Drosophila melanogaster: one gene and its partners. The protein of the gene in region 1 interacts with the protein of each later gene in a pairwise test. Each region holds a gene or a part of one and is shown on either strand. Other genes may lie near its edges.

What was found.
Region 2: the proteins of CG15219 (region 1) and CG15631 interact in a two-hybrid assay, tested with the Drosophila melanogaster proteins (one large-scale study listed by BioGRID).
Region 3: the proteins of CG15219 (region 1) and S6KL interact in a two-hybrid assay, tested with the Drosophila melanogaster proteins (one large-scale study listed by BioGRID).

Annotation. Positions count from the first base shown.
Region 1 is NT_033779.5:22,104,345-22,107,132, forward strand, and holds CG15219 (uncharacterized protein), read right to left. Parts: upstream 1,169-2,788; 5' UTR 1,058-1,168; coding exon 1,007-1,057; intron 954-1,006; coding exon 772-953; intron 724-771; coding exon of another isoform or gene 708-723; coding exon 581-707; 3' UTR 547-580; downstream 1-546. Other genes in the region: CG10834 (uncharacterized protein), read right to left, coding at 2,607-2,788.
Region 2 is NT_033779.5:4,731,798-4,736,176, forward strand, and holds CG15631 (uncharacterized protein), read right to left. Parts: upstream 2,662-4,379; 5' UTR 2,630-2,661; coding exon 2,509-2,629; intron 2,458-2,508; coding exon 710-2,457; 3' UTR 616-709; downstream 1-615. Other genes in the region: fipi (factor of interpulse interval), read right to left, coding at 3,750-3,970, 4,052-4,379.
Region 3 is NC_004354.4:18,786,898-18,791,587, reverse strand, and holds the start of S6KL (S6 kinase like), read right to left. Parts: upstream 3,125-4,690; 5' UTR 2,757-3,124; coding exon 2,499-2,756; intron 1,427-2,498; exon of another isoform or gene 1,279-1,426; intron 1,083-1,278; coding exon 973-1,082; intron 912-972; coding exon 695-911; intron 631-694; coding exon 507-630; intron 443-506; coding exon 344-442; intron 288-343; coding exon 129-287; intron 1-128. Other genes in the region: CG6961 (uncharacterized protein), read left to right, coding at 3,528-3,607, 3,670-4,190, 4,248-4,690.

The DNA of each region.
Region 1 (2,788 bases):
GGAAGGATCAGCTGTAACATGAATTACCAATTACTTTTAGGCTGAGCATACTTTGTTCGGAATAAAATGTTACTCGTATATTAATATATATATATATTAATATATATATTCGTTGAACAGTATGTAACAGGCAGAAGGCGTTTCCGACCATATATTCTCGATCTGGATCTCTAGCCGAGTCGATCTAGAAATGTCCGTCTGACCGTATAAAAGTCATATCTCAGGAACGCAGCTTGCAGAGGCTGCGTGTTCCCACGCATCTTTTTAATTGGTTTTCAATATTGCAATGTCAAAGACATTCTGGTGAATATTAACATGCACATTTTTTAAAATATACATATTTTTCTAACGTGTATATATTTCCCTTTCCCACTTTTGAAAAAGGTGTTGATATTTTTTTAAATATAAAAAAAAATATAAAATAAAATAAAATATAAGTTATATTATATATAAATATAAAACTACCACGACCACAATTTTTCAAAATTTTCTTTGTCTTGTAAATTTCTATCCGCCCAAAACTGGAATAATAAGGCATACACATTTCAAAATTTATTTTATTAAATTATATCAACAATTTCTACGAAGTGCATGGGTTTACTTTAGTAGTATGGATTTCCATTGCCCCGCGACTGATAAGCTTGACCTTCTGGGCCGCCAAGGCCGGGCAATGTATTATAGTAGTCGCCTTGCCCACTGCTCCGCTGCTGTTCCATTGGAGAGCTAAAAAGAGCTACACGAATTCGAGGAATATATTGTATATATACATACTAAAGCCCGTTGCGAGAGTTCATCTCACGAAGCATTTTTGTGTATCGCAAGGGACTGCGATAGCCAGGACCACCAAGCGATGCAGATGCACCATTAAAATTTGAAGAACCTTGTCCGCAATTACTCTGCTGCTGGCTATATCCATGGCCACTGCTCGTTTGGTTGTACAGCATTTCAAAGCCCTTTAAAAGCAAAGATTGTTTGGGCACAACAAAAACTCTTGCTGTATACTTACCTCGCCACCTTGGCTATAACCATCGTATTGCATACCATTTCCGTATTCCATGACTGAAAATTTTGAAAAAAGATTTTACTTGACTTTCTTATAAAATTTTTACAATTTTTTTTTTTTTTGTTTTTTAGAGATGTTTACAGTCCGAAACCTGAAATGAAACTGGAAAAAACTGACAAAATGCCTGGGAGGTGTACAAAATCAAATGTCACTTCTATCATAGATAGTGTGATGAAAAAAAGGAATAAAATTTAAATTATTAAAATTTACATTTTTTTTTTTATTTGTAAAAGTAAAGTCGTATATTTCCACACACATATTACTTACCCTAAAAAGTATATACAATATATTCTGGAATAGGATCAATAGCCGAGTTAATCTAGGCATGTCCGTCTGTATGAATGTCGAGATCTCAAAGACTATGCAACTTATGGATTAAGAATGCAGATTCTGATAAAGCCTATGCTATGCAATATTGCTTTAGTTACTTATTTTATTATTTGTTTTGCTTTTCCTATGGATATGTCAAAAAGATTTGGGCCACGTTCATGCTATTACGGCCAAAATTTTGAAAAATGTTTGGATACTTTTCTATTCACTTTTAAACTTCCTCAGTTCTAAGATATGAACAAGAGAGAATGCTTTAGCAAAAGTGTCTTTAGTCTGGCTGTAACTTGTATTGTTAATAATGTGTTCATTTGTGTTCTCCAACTCTTGGAGCTTTTACATTTTTGGATAATATATTTTTATGTATTTCGATTATAGCTGTCTCTCTTGTTTTATTTATAGTTTCATCAAATAAAAATATAAGTTAGTCCGTTAGTCTTGATATCTTTTAATTTGGTAATGAAATACGTTAATATGACGTTCGGTTATATTGTATAATTGCAATCACCCATGGCACCGTCTGATGTCTGATGTCTGCTATATCGCATATCAATGGAAAATTTCAAAGAAAATAACAAAATAGAAAATATTATTATATAAACATTTTTTGGCATATTGCTAGAAATGTAAGGCCAATAGTAAGATACAGAGTGAATGCACTTTTCAAAGTTGTGAACATTACAGGTTTGTTGTAATCTTTTGGCTCTTTCTGGCCATTTTTTATAAGCGATCCGGATACCTTATCTAGACCATTGCAGCCAAAGTTCCTGCGGGGTAAGGACACGGATAAAGTCTGTAAAATCGCCATAATGGTAATCAAAGCAATGCAAGTCCGGACAATATGGCCTTCCCTCCCTAGGAAAAAGCAATGAATATGCAAACGGCACAGAGTGAGAACGTCGCCGAATAATTAAAATCGAGCTGGATACCGTTTTTAAGCCAGCGGGAGTGAGATCTTCTTTGGCCGGATTAGAGATACCGGCAAACACTTTACGGCGGACAATTAAGTGCGGCTCGTAATCGGTCTGTCGTAATTATAGCGACGCGCCGCGTATTTATCTAGAGCAATTAACGCCAAGCCGGGGAGGGCCAAGTCGTATATTTTACATCACCAAAGATGCGCAATTGGACCAGACGCTTTCTCAACTTTAATTAAAACTATATAAGGGCAAATACATTCAGCGAAAAAGAATATTACATGGCTTAATACAATGATTTAGGTGCCTGGATTTTGCACTACAATAATGATGTAGTTCTCGGAGGGCAGCACAATCACCTCGTGAACCTTGGTGCGCAGACGTATTGTCACCAGCTCATTGCTGGCATCCAAATTGGTAATCATTTTGGCCGCCTTATAAGTTAAGGTGCTGATCAAGGCCGCGTAATGCACGGTCAAGG
Region 2 (4,379 bases), about 17 Mb from region 1:
ATCGTTGACTTAAAGTGTTGATATTGAAAGCTGGCGGGCACATGGGGCAAGTGATTTGAACTCATGCTGTGCCGAATAATGCTCCTCTCATTTGGAAATTAAATAGCCGGGCTGATTGTTTTGAACCGCACCCAAATAACGGCCACGCTCATTGCTGCTCATTGTGATGCGAATGACGATGGCCAATGGTAAATGTCAATGATGAGCGGAGCATCCATGTCCATGTGTGTAGACAGAAAAATATTTAACGCGCGGTCGGGCAATAAAAGTCACCACGCACAATATGGCGCCCAGTCGCAATGCATATCCGCATACGCAACAGCATCCGCATCTGCATCCGAATCCGACGTTTGGCATTCAACTGATTTATGCGGCTGTCAACGCAGTGCTCCTATTCCTTGCCCCAAAAAGCCCCCCCAAAAAGGCATTCCGGCCAAAAGCGCATATGCGGGTCCTTAGTTGAGCCCCAGTTGATGTGGCTGATTGACAAACCGCGCCCGTTGAACAAATGAACCATTTGCCATGCGGTCCGTCGGTTGTGCAAATGGCAGTGCAACCTGTACGGTTAGCTTTATTGAAACTAATCAGAATTTCCTTTGATCTATGCTGGCTTTTAAAATTATAAGGTCTTTTATTACAAAATTTTAGAAATACGTTGTAAGTTGGCTTAACTATAACTTTTGCTATATATTATTAAAACTGATATCTTTCAAACTGATGGTAGTTTTGTACGGGCACTTTTCTTATATCTTATCTTCATTTCTGTCTGCATATCCATCAAAGTCGTTTGAGTGGAAACTGAGTGTAACTGACTTCCAGTTACACTCCTAGTGTCGTGCTCAGTGATTTTGGTATAGGATCGCGGAACGGAGTACAGGTATTTCAGCTGCTCCAAAGGAAGTCCGAGAACCCTGCCGATATATTCCTTGCCCACCATGCAGGAGCCACGAAGTGGAGAATCGCAACCACCGGTCTGCCGCTTTGAATGATGGTATTCAAAGACGATGCCCAAGTCGCAGTTCTTCGACTTGATGGTATTCCGCACATCAATTACACTAAATGTGAGTATGTTCTGAAAAACTCCCAACTCGATGGCCTCCTCTATGGCCGCATCAGTGACCAGGTAACAACCAAGGGAACAGTCCGAGCTCAGATCCCGCACATTTACGTGATAGACATTGTCTGCTCGCAGAAATATGGATATTACTATGTCTGTCAGGGAACGATCCCAAAGTGAGTCCAGCAGTTGCCTATAGAAGCTATCAAGTATTTTCAAACACTGCCCATGACAGAACTGACAGGTGCTCGAGGTCTTCTTGTCCAGCCTTTTGGCGCCATCCATTTTCTGAATGCACTCTTTGGCCAAATGCTGAACATTGGCATTGAGGCTATTCACCTGCGTGCGGATATCGCAGAGTTCCTGGCTGTGAAGGCCCTCCAAACGTCGATTCATCTCCTCCAATTGGTTGGATAAGTCGCATATAGCCGGGCAGTTGGAACATGGCGGTGGATTCTGCGAGCAATGGGGCTCCTCTGGTATATAGTAACAGCAAAATTGGTCTTCGCTCTTGCAGTCACAGGATTCGTGGGTATCGGAAGTGCAGATTGAATTTGGAAAAGTTTCTTCAATTTCCACTGTAGGCTGACCACGATTTGCTAAAGAATCTTTAGAGCTGTGAGACTTAATAAGGCGGTGACTCTTTGCTTGCTTCTTTGTGGATTTTCGAGAACTATTCGTGTGGTGTGCAGACTTCGACTTGGAGTGATCTGTGCTAACTATTTTGGAATTCTCAGATTGATCCTTCTTTAATTGTTTAATTCCTCCACCTGTGGGCACCACAATCAACGGTCTCATGCAAAATCGTGAAGCTGTTTGATTCCTGGACGACTCCTTCATCCGTTGAGGGGCTGGCTCTTTCGGCGTTTGAGCGGGACAAGATTTTGTAATATCCCTCTGTTGCTCTTGGCTATAGCAAACGTTGATGGAGGACAGGCTGGAATCATGGGACACCGTACATGAGGTGTCCCGGAAGTGCAGATCAAATGTGGGAATATCCTTGGCCGCGGGCTCTTCAAAGGACACACAGCTCTGACGCTGGTTCTCGTGTCCATCGCTGCGTGGGGACTTATTGGGTTCCGGTATGGAACAGCGGGTGATTTTCAGGCTTTTATCGGATGCACTTTTATTGCCCCGGCAGGAAGGTTCATCATTTGTGGCGCAATCAGTTGGCTTCGAGCAAGAAGGCTTACAGGTATCATTTTGCTGGTCGTGGCTTTGGTTGTGTTTATTTTTTTTCTCCTTTCCGGATTTATTGAATTTCGTACAGAATCCGCCAGCTGAGAGGCGGCTATGTGAGCCCTGCAATTTTAGAGTGGTCCTGGATTGAAATCTTCTATGCATGGAATTTTGCACACGGATGAGGGTTGCCATATACCGCTGATATACTCTATTGTATTCTAAATAAAAATTTTAATTTTATGTATTCATTATTAGCAAGCTTTACTCACCCGGATCTGAGCTAAACCTATATATTTTTTGTGAATTCCTCATAATTTGATCTTCTAAATTAAAGTCTGCATTTAGCGGCTGGTTCGAGTTCTGACTAAAATAATGAGCTCGTTTTTCCATCTTGCAACATTTTTATGCTTTGTACTTTTTGTATATAATTTTTGAGCCGAATATTAGAAATTAACACTAAAAGCTACGCCAACTAATAGGCATTTTTTTTACTAAAATATTTATATTCTATTTACTTACTGATTTATACATCAATAAATCGAAGCACAAACGGTTCTGGTTTGATATTCATAACTTTTATTATGGCTCACACACAATTGGCAAACGAAAGTTGGAAAATATTAAATCTTTGGCTAGGTATTATGGTTTAGATTTTACACCACTTTAGCTGAAATACATTTAATTTTATTGAATATAAATAACTTTTGTAAAATATGTGTTTGTTTTTCTCTCGTTTGCATAATATTTGTATTGTGGCAAAGTGTTTAAACTTATTTTTACATCTATATTTTATTCTGTATTTTTTAGCCCTGGAAATTTACACGTGGAATTGTTTTTATTGGCCTTTGACTATTAAAAAGAATTATGTGACATATAAAACTTTTAAATGCTGTCGTTAAGCTCCTTGATATTTATATTAATTGTTTGATGCGTTTAATGGTATTCCAAAACTTTATATATTTATGTAGTTTAGTTGAAAAGATTGTTAGTTATATCGAATGACGGAAGGCATTTGTTTGTATATACTAAACTAATGTACTTTTTTAGTTTTGGCAACTGTCTGATTATATCTTAAAGATTTGGCAACGAGATGCAAAGTTGCAGGGAAAACTTCCAATTCACGTTAAAATATATACTGGAATGTTGAGCAAAGCTTTAGTTTTGCATAATTTTGGGGAGCCAAGGCCAGCAAACCATTGATTATGTCTAACTGCTATGAGGATTTGTTTAAATACATATAAATATCCTATAAGTGATCCACTAATATCATTCAAATCGAAGCACTGAAAGCGTAATAGAAATTCTTACTAAACTTAACATTCTTTAAGGTTACATTAACGCACTGAACTTAAGAGTAAACCAAATTACTTAGACCGAGCAAATCAGACAGAAAAGTGTCGCCGTGTGGACACGCCTTATAGCTATACAAAGCACATGGGGTTTAAGGTCCTGGTTTCCGGTTCCGCTAGGTGCATCACCTGTCATCCTTCATCCGCCTGCAGATTCAGATTCATCCCAGGAACGGCCGCATCAGGACCATTAGTGTCATCACACCCAGTTCCACGCACATATTTCTGGTCTCCTTGACTCCCGAAGAGACTCGGGGCTCCAGCGAAAGTGTCTTGTACTTCTCCACCTTGGTGAAGTCACTGAATCCGGCCAGATTCCGTGATGCGGCCCGCACCAGGTAAACGGTATCTGGCTCTAAGTTCGTCAGAAGGAAGGTAGCCCCTAAAATTTATAGAATCCATGAGTTTACATATCGAATGTAGCAAGAGATAGCTTTTATCTATATTTTAAAGCTTAACTCACCCTCCTCGAAAGCATAATCCTTCCGCCTGGCATTGGTCCACTTGCCCGCATCCGTCTTGAACTCCATTTCGGTCATGTACTCGATGCGGAATCCATTGACCCCCATGGGACTGTCGGGAGGACCTCGTGGAGCACTCAGTACCACATCGAAGGTGTTTGAATTGAAGCCACGCAGCTGGAAGTTGGCCGGTGACGGAGGCTTCTCGCCCTGCTCCAGTCGCGTGGTCCTCTCGATGGTGCCCAGATCGTTCCTGGCGCGACACCTGTAGTTATCGAAGGCGCTGGTGTTCAGCACATGGATGGTCAGACTCGACCAGTAGCTGTCCGA
Region 3 (4,690 bases), on another chromosome or scaffold:
AGTTACTTTGATGGGCTTTCTTTTCGAAAATACCTTTGAACGATTTGGATTGCGATGGATCGGCACGCCTCTTAACAGCTAAATCTATTTCTTAAGTGTTTGTATGTTTAAGTTGGATTAGATCGTACCCATGTATTTGAAAGTGCCACACATGGTGCGCGTGTTTGCCCCCAGTTTGAGCCACTTGCTAAGGCCGAAGTCGGTTAGCTTTATGTGAAACTGTTCAGTTAGCAGGATGTTCTCCGGCTTCGCATCACGATATATAATCCCAGCGTTGTGGAGAAAATCTAAAAAGAGCGTACGTGAGATATTGGTTTGCTGGCCTAAGACCTCTTTTACTCACCCAAGGCAAGTGCTATCTCGCCAATGTATAAACGAACCAGATCAATGGAGAAGTGAGTTATTTTTGAGAACAACTCGCCGTTGGGTACGTACTCCGATACTGCAGTGGATTAGAGTATTTAGTATACACATAAAATCGTTAGTATAGTTTTATCTCAACGCACGAATATGGAGGTTGTGGCGGTTTTGCCACAGATCTATTTGCTTCACGATAAACGGATGATGGCCGCAAACCTTCTGAATGTCCGCCTCGTCCTTTATCTGCCGTACACTGTTGTCTTCGATGAGCTGTATAAAAAAAGTAGGGGAGTTATTTTATCTCTGCCAGTATCCGAACCGAATGCTTAACAACCTTTGATTTCTTTAGCACTTTCAGGGCGTAGCACTGACTAATGTCACTCTTGCTGGACACCTTGAAGACCACGCCAAAGGCTCCCTTGGCCACCAAATGATCGATACGGTACAGATCGTTCTTGCTGGTCTCCTTAAAGTGCGAGTTGAAGATTGAGTTGGTCAGAGGTCGGTGCCACTGAGTCTTGCCACGACGAGAGCCATGAAGTGAGGTCAAGCTGCAAGCAAGAGTTGGCATATTATTTACGGAAACTTAAGGGGCGATCAATGCGATTCTACCTCTTTCGCGTGGCCTTGTTTCGATGACGAAATGAGTTGCGGGCACCGGAGAAGCTCCAGTTGAGTCGTCCTCCGCTAAGGCTGCCAAGACTCCAGGTGGAAAGCTGTTGCTGAAACAAGACAGACCATTAGGTTTTGGTGTTCAGTACACAATTCTCGCCCTTCACTGCTATCTATCCCATGTATATGTACATATGTAAGTTAATTTTATATTGAACACGCGGCGGACTGCCTGTATACTGAATGACCAGTGCTGAAGCCAACAAAACGGCCTGAAACGGGCTCAGCGGATTTATTACGGCTTACCTGCGTTGTTTTCAACGCTTATCCCAGCCCTTTCCACCGGAAAAATAAGCTAATGAATTCCCAGAACACTTTCTAGCAATCTATGAATTTCTACGGAGGCGTAGGAGACGGTTTTGCGATGTTCCCTTGGCGACGACACGTGCGTTATGGGCCTCTGAATATTTGCAAACAAACAACGCCACCGATGATCGAACAGCTGGGAACGGAACGCAGAAGAGAGCGAGAGAGCAAATCGACTATACAGTGGTGTCCACCGAGAGTGATCATATGTTTTCAATGTTCTCAATCACTATGACACATTCTTGGTAAAAAGTTAGTTTTTTTTCATTAAATTGCTGATTTTTAGTTTAAATAATAAGGCCATTTTTAGGCAAACCCGAGTAAAACAGTGAATTTAAATTGGTTTCGCTATTAGGTAACTTTCAAACCAAAAGTGTTGATTTAAACCATATTTTGAAAAATAATGGAGCTATGAGCTTTTTGTGTGCAAAAATTTTTTTATCTATTAATATAGATTGCTGACGTGAAAAATCTTTAATAAACTACTGCTGAGAACTAAATACGTTTTCGGCATGCGAAGTCTTATCTCATTTTCTAAACGCTTTTCCACAAGTCGTTCCCATATGCTAGCCCGCGTCTGTGGCCAGAGTTTCTTTGCTTGAGGGTCACCATTCCATTCCGTATGGCTACACACACGCGTATGGAGCATAATGTACAGATCTGTGGATCTGGATCTACGCGTGGGCTGTGCGATCCCCAGATTCATAAAGTGAAAACAGAGGGGGGAGCACGTGGACGGGTGGATTTGATAAGGGGGAGCCAGAATTTGCGCAGCGGGAGGCTCAATTGGCATGGCCATGAAAGTCGTATGCGAATGCGGAAATACTTGGGGCATTTGAAAAGTGCGGAAAAGAGCGCCCACACACGTGCTGCCTGTGGGGCGGCGCGAGGAAGAGTGGGTTTCGTGGGGGGTCAGGGGTCAAAAGCCGCAACGTAATTGAAAGGGGGAAAACGCGAACCCAGCACCCATTAATGTCATTAATGACGCAGTATTTATTCGCGCTGACGAGGGAAAACATGGCCAACAAAGTGTACATACATATGTGCATAAGTACGAATGTATGTTTATACGCGCATATATGGGTTGCCTTATCAGCCTGTCCTACACATATACTACAACGTCCACCCACCACCCACTTGCGACTTTTCTTACTCATTACCTGCTGTGATTGTACAGGCTGTTCCTCGTCGCCCGGAGGATGCGACTGTGTTGGCTGGTTGGTGTGGGCCTGGAACTGGATTCTCCTGCTGCTCGGTTGCTCCTGTTGCGGCTGTTGTTGCTGCTGCTGCTGCTCCTGATACAGCTCCTCCTGGTGGTAGTGGTGATCGCTGGCTGAGGCGCCTAGTTCCGCTGCGCCTTGTGGCCACTGGGATGTCCTTCTGCTTCTGCTTGCATTACGCGGTTGCGAGTTGCCCATCAAAAGCTCCACTCGTCCCAATCAATTCCCGTTGTTTCTGTTTCGGTTTCTGTTTCCTTGTCGTCCGCTTGTTGTTTACACACACACACCGCACACCACCACACTCCACTCGTTCCACTGGAATTGCGCAATCACTGTTCGTGTGCGTGCGCGTGAGGGGCAGCCAAAAAATCGCAGTAAAAAGCGCGCACTCGCAGTTGGGGTAGCTGAAATTCTAATATAAATATTTGGTAGCTAAGGCTGGCTCTATTTTGCTGTTTTTCAGTGTGTTGTTGTTGTTGTTGTTGTGCAGGTAGCAGTGTGACCAGACCAGACGTCGGCTAGCACCTAAGCGCGATTGTTCTCGGCTGTGCGAAGGGGCACACTGTGAATTAGTGGCGCGTAATGTCAGTGGATAAAACGTATTATGTATTCTAAGCTACCATTGTCAGTTCTGAGAATTTTCAATCTTCTACAAACTAATGTTAAGACATGCAAAAACTGTTTTTGTGAATGAACAAATAGTTAATAGTATTATTTGTATATTTGTATTAGTGTTAGTATATTGCTGTTTCTATTTTACATTTTATTTCCAGCATCACGAAAATGTTAATAAGCGATAGTTGCTATCGATAATGCCGGGCGATAGTTGGCGACCCCAAGTGTCACCAGTGAAACGCCAGTCCTATTTTTTTTACGAACGTAGCTCGAATAGTCAGGATAATTTGAATCTGGTTGTTTTTACTTCAAACATAGCTTAGGAAAGGGTGTGAAAAGCGTATACTGCGAGCCATGGACATCGATTTGAGTCTGGACGAGATTATAGAGCGGAAGCGCGGGCAACGCGGCTATCGTCCCCTCGACAGAAAGTTGTAAGTACATTTACAGGACAGCCGAAAAAATATAATGTCACTCAATGCGTTTTCCATTGCAGCAATGCGAACTTCTCCAAGCCGCGCCAGCTGCTGAACAAGCCTTTTTTCAAGCCATCGGGTGCACGAGGATCTCACTCTGATATGCCGGCAAAGCGCACCTTCGATGCCAGAAACACGATTGCCGCGAAGACACGGGCCAAGATAGCCGATGCTCGGGATCTGATCAACAAGAGCGTGCGCGACTCGGGCATCGATGCCCGCCAACTGTTGCTGGAGCGAAAGAAGGCCCGTTCGGCGGGCCCAATACTTATTGATGACGAAGAAGAGTCGTTTGAGCCATCACATCGCGCACGCGGAAAGGGAGTGCACATCGGTCAGTTTGGTCACCGCCTTAGCATGTCAAACCATGCGGACGGCACCATTCAGGCGAAATGGGACTCGGACGACGGGGTCGTTGAACTGGGTAACCACATGTTGTCCGGCTTGCGTCGAACCTTTGACCCCAGATCCCATAAGCCGGGCAAACCCTTTGCTCCACGACGCTATATTGATCTTGATAATATGCAGGACCTCGAGGATGGTTAGTTAGTGCCTTTCTCTGCCAAGCCGTTCCTAAAAAGCACTCTTCTACTTTCAGAGGAAATATCTCGCACACTGCACTTAGGGCAAATGAAGCAAGCGTCGCCACGCTACTCAATTGGTGGGCTCGACCTGAACCGCGGCGACGACGTGGAGATGTCCATGGCCCCACTAAATAACAAAATAGATAACAATGCATTCTCCATTTACGAGGCGGCCCGCAATCGCATTGAGCGTCCTTCGCTGACCAACCGACTCGTAGTTGGACGCTCAAATAGCACCAAGGAGCCTCTCGAGCGCCGCCACCGCGACACAGTAAGCACAAGTAAACTCCCAGAATCGCTGCGGTCTCGTCTGTTTGTCGGTAAGAGAGATCCTCACATTTCTCATGGCATCTACGCCAACGAGAACCGGAGAAAGGCTGTTGGTGGCGGTGGTGGTAGTGATAGCGATAGCGGTACTGATAGTGATGGTGATGCAGCTGCTCCATCGAAGAACAAG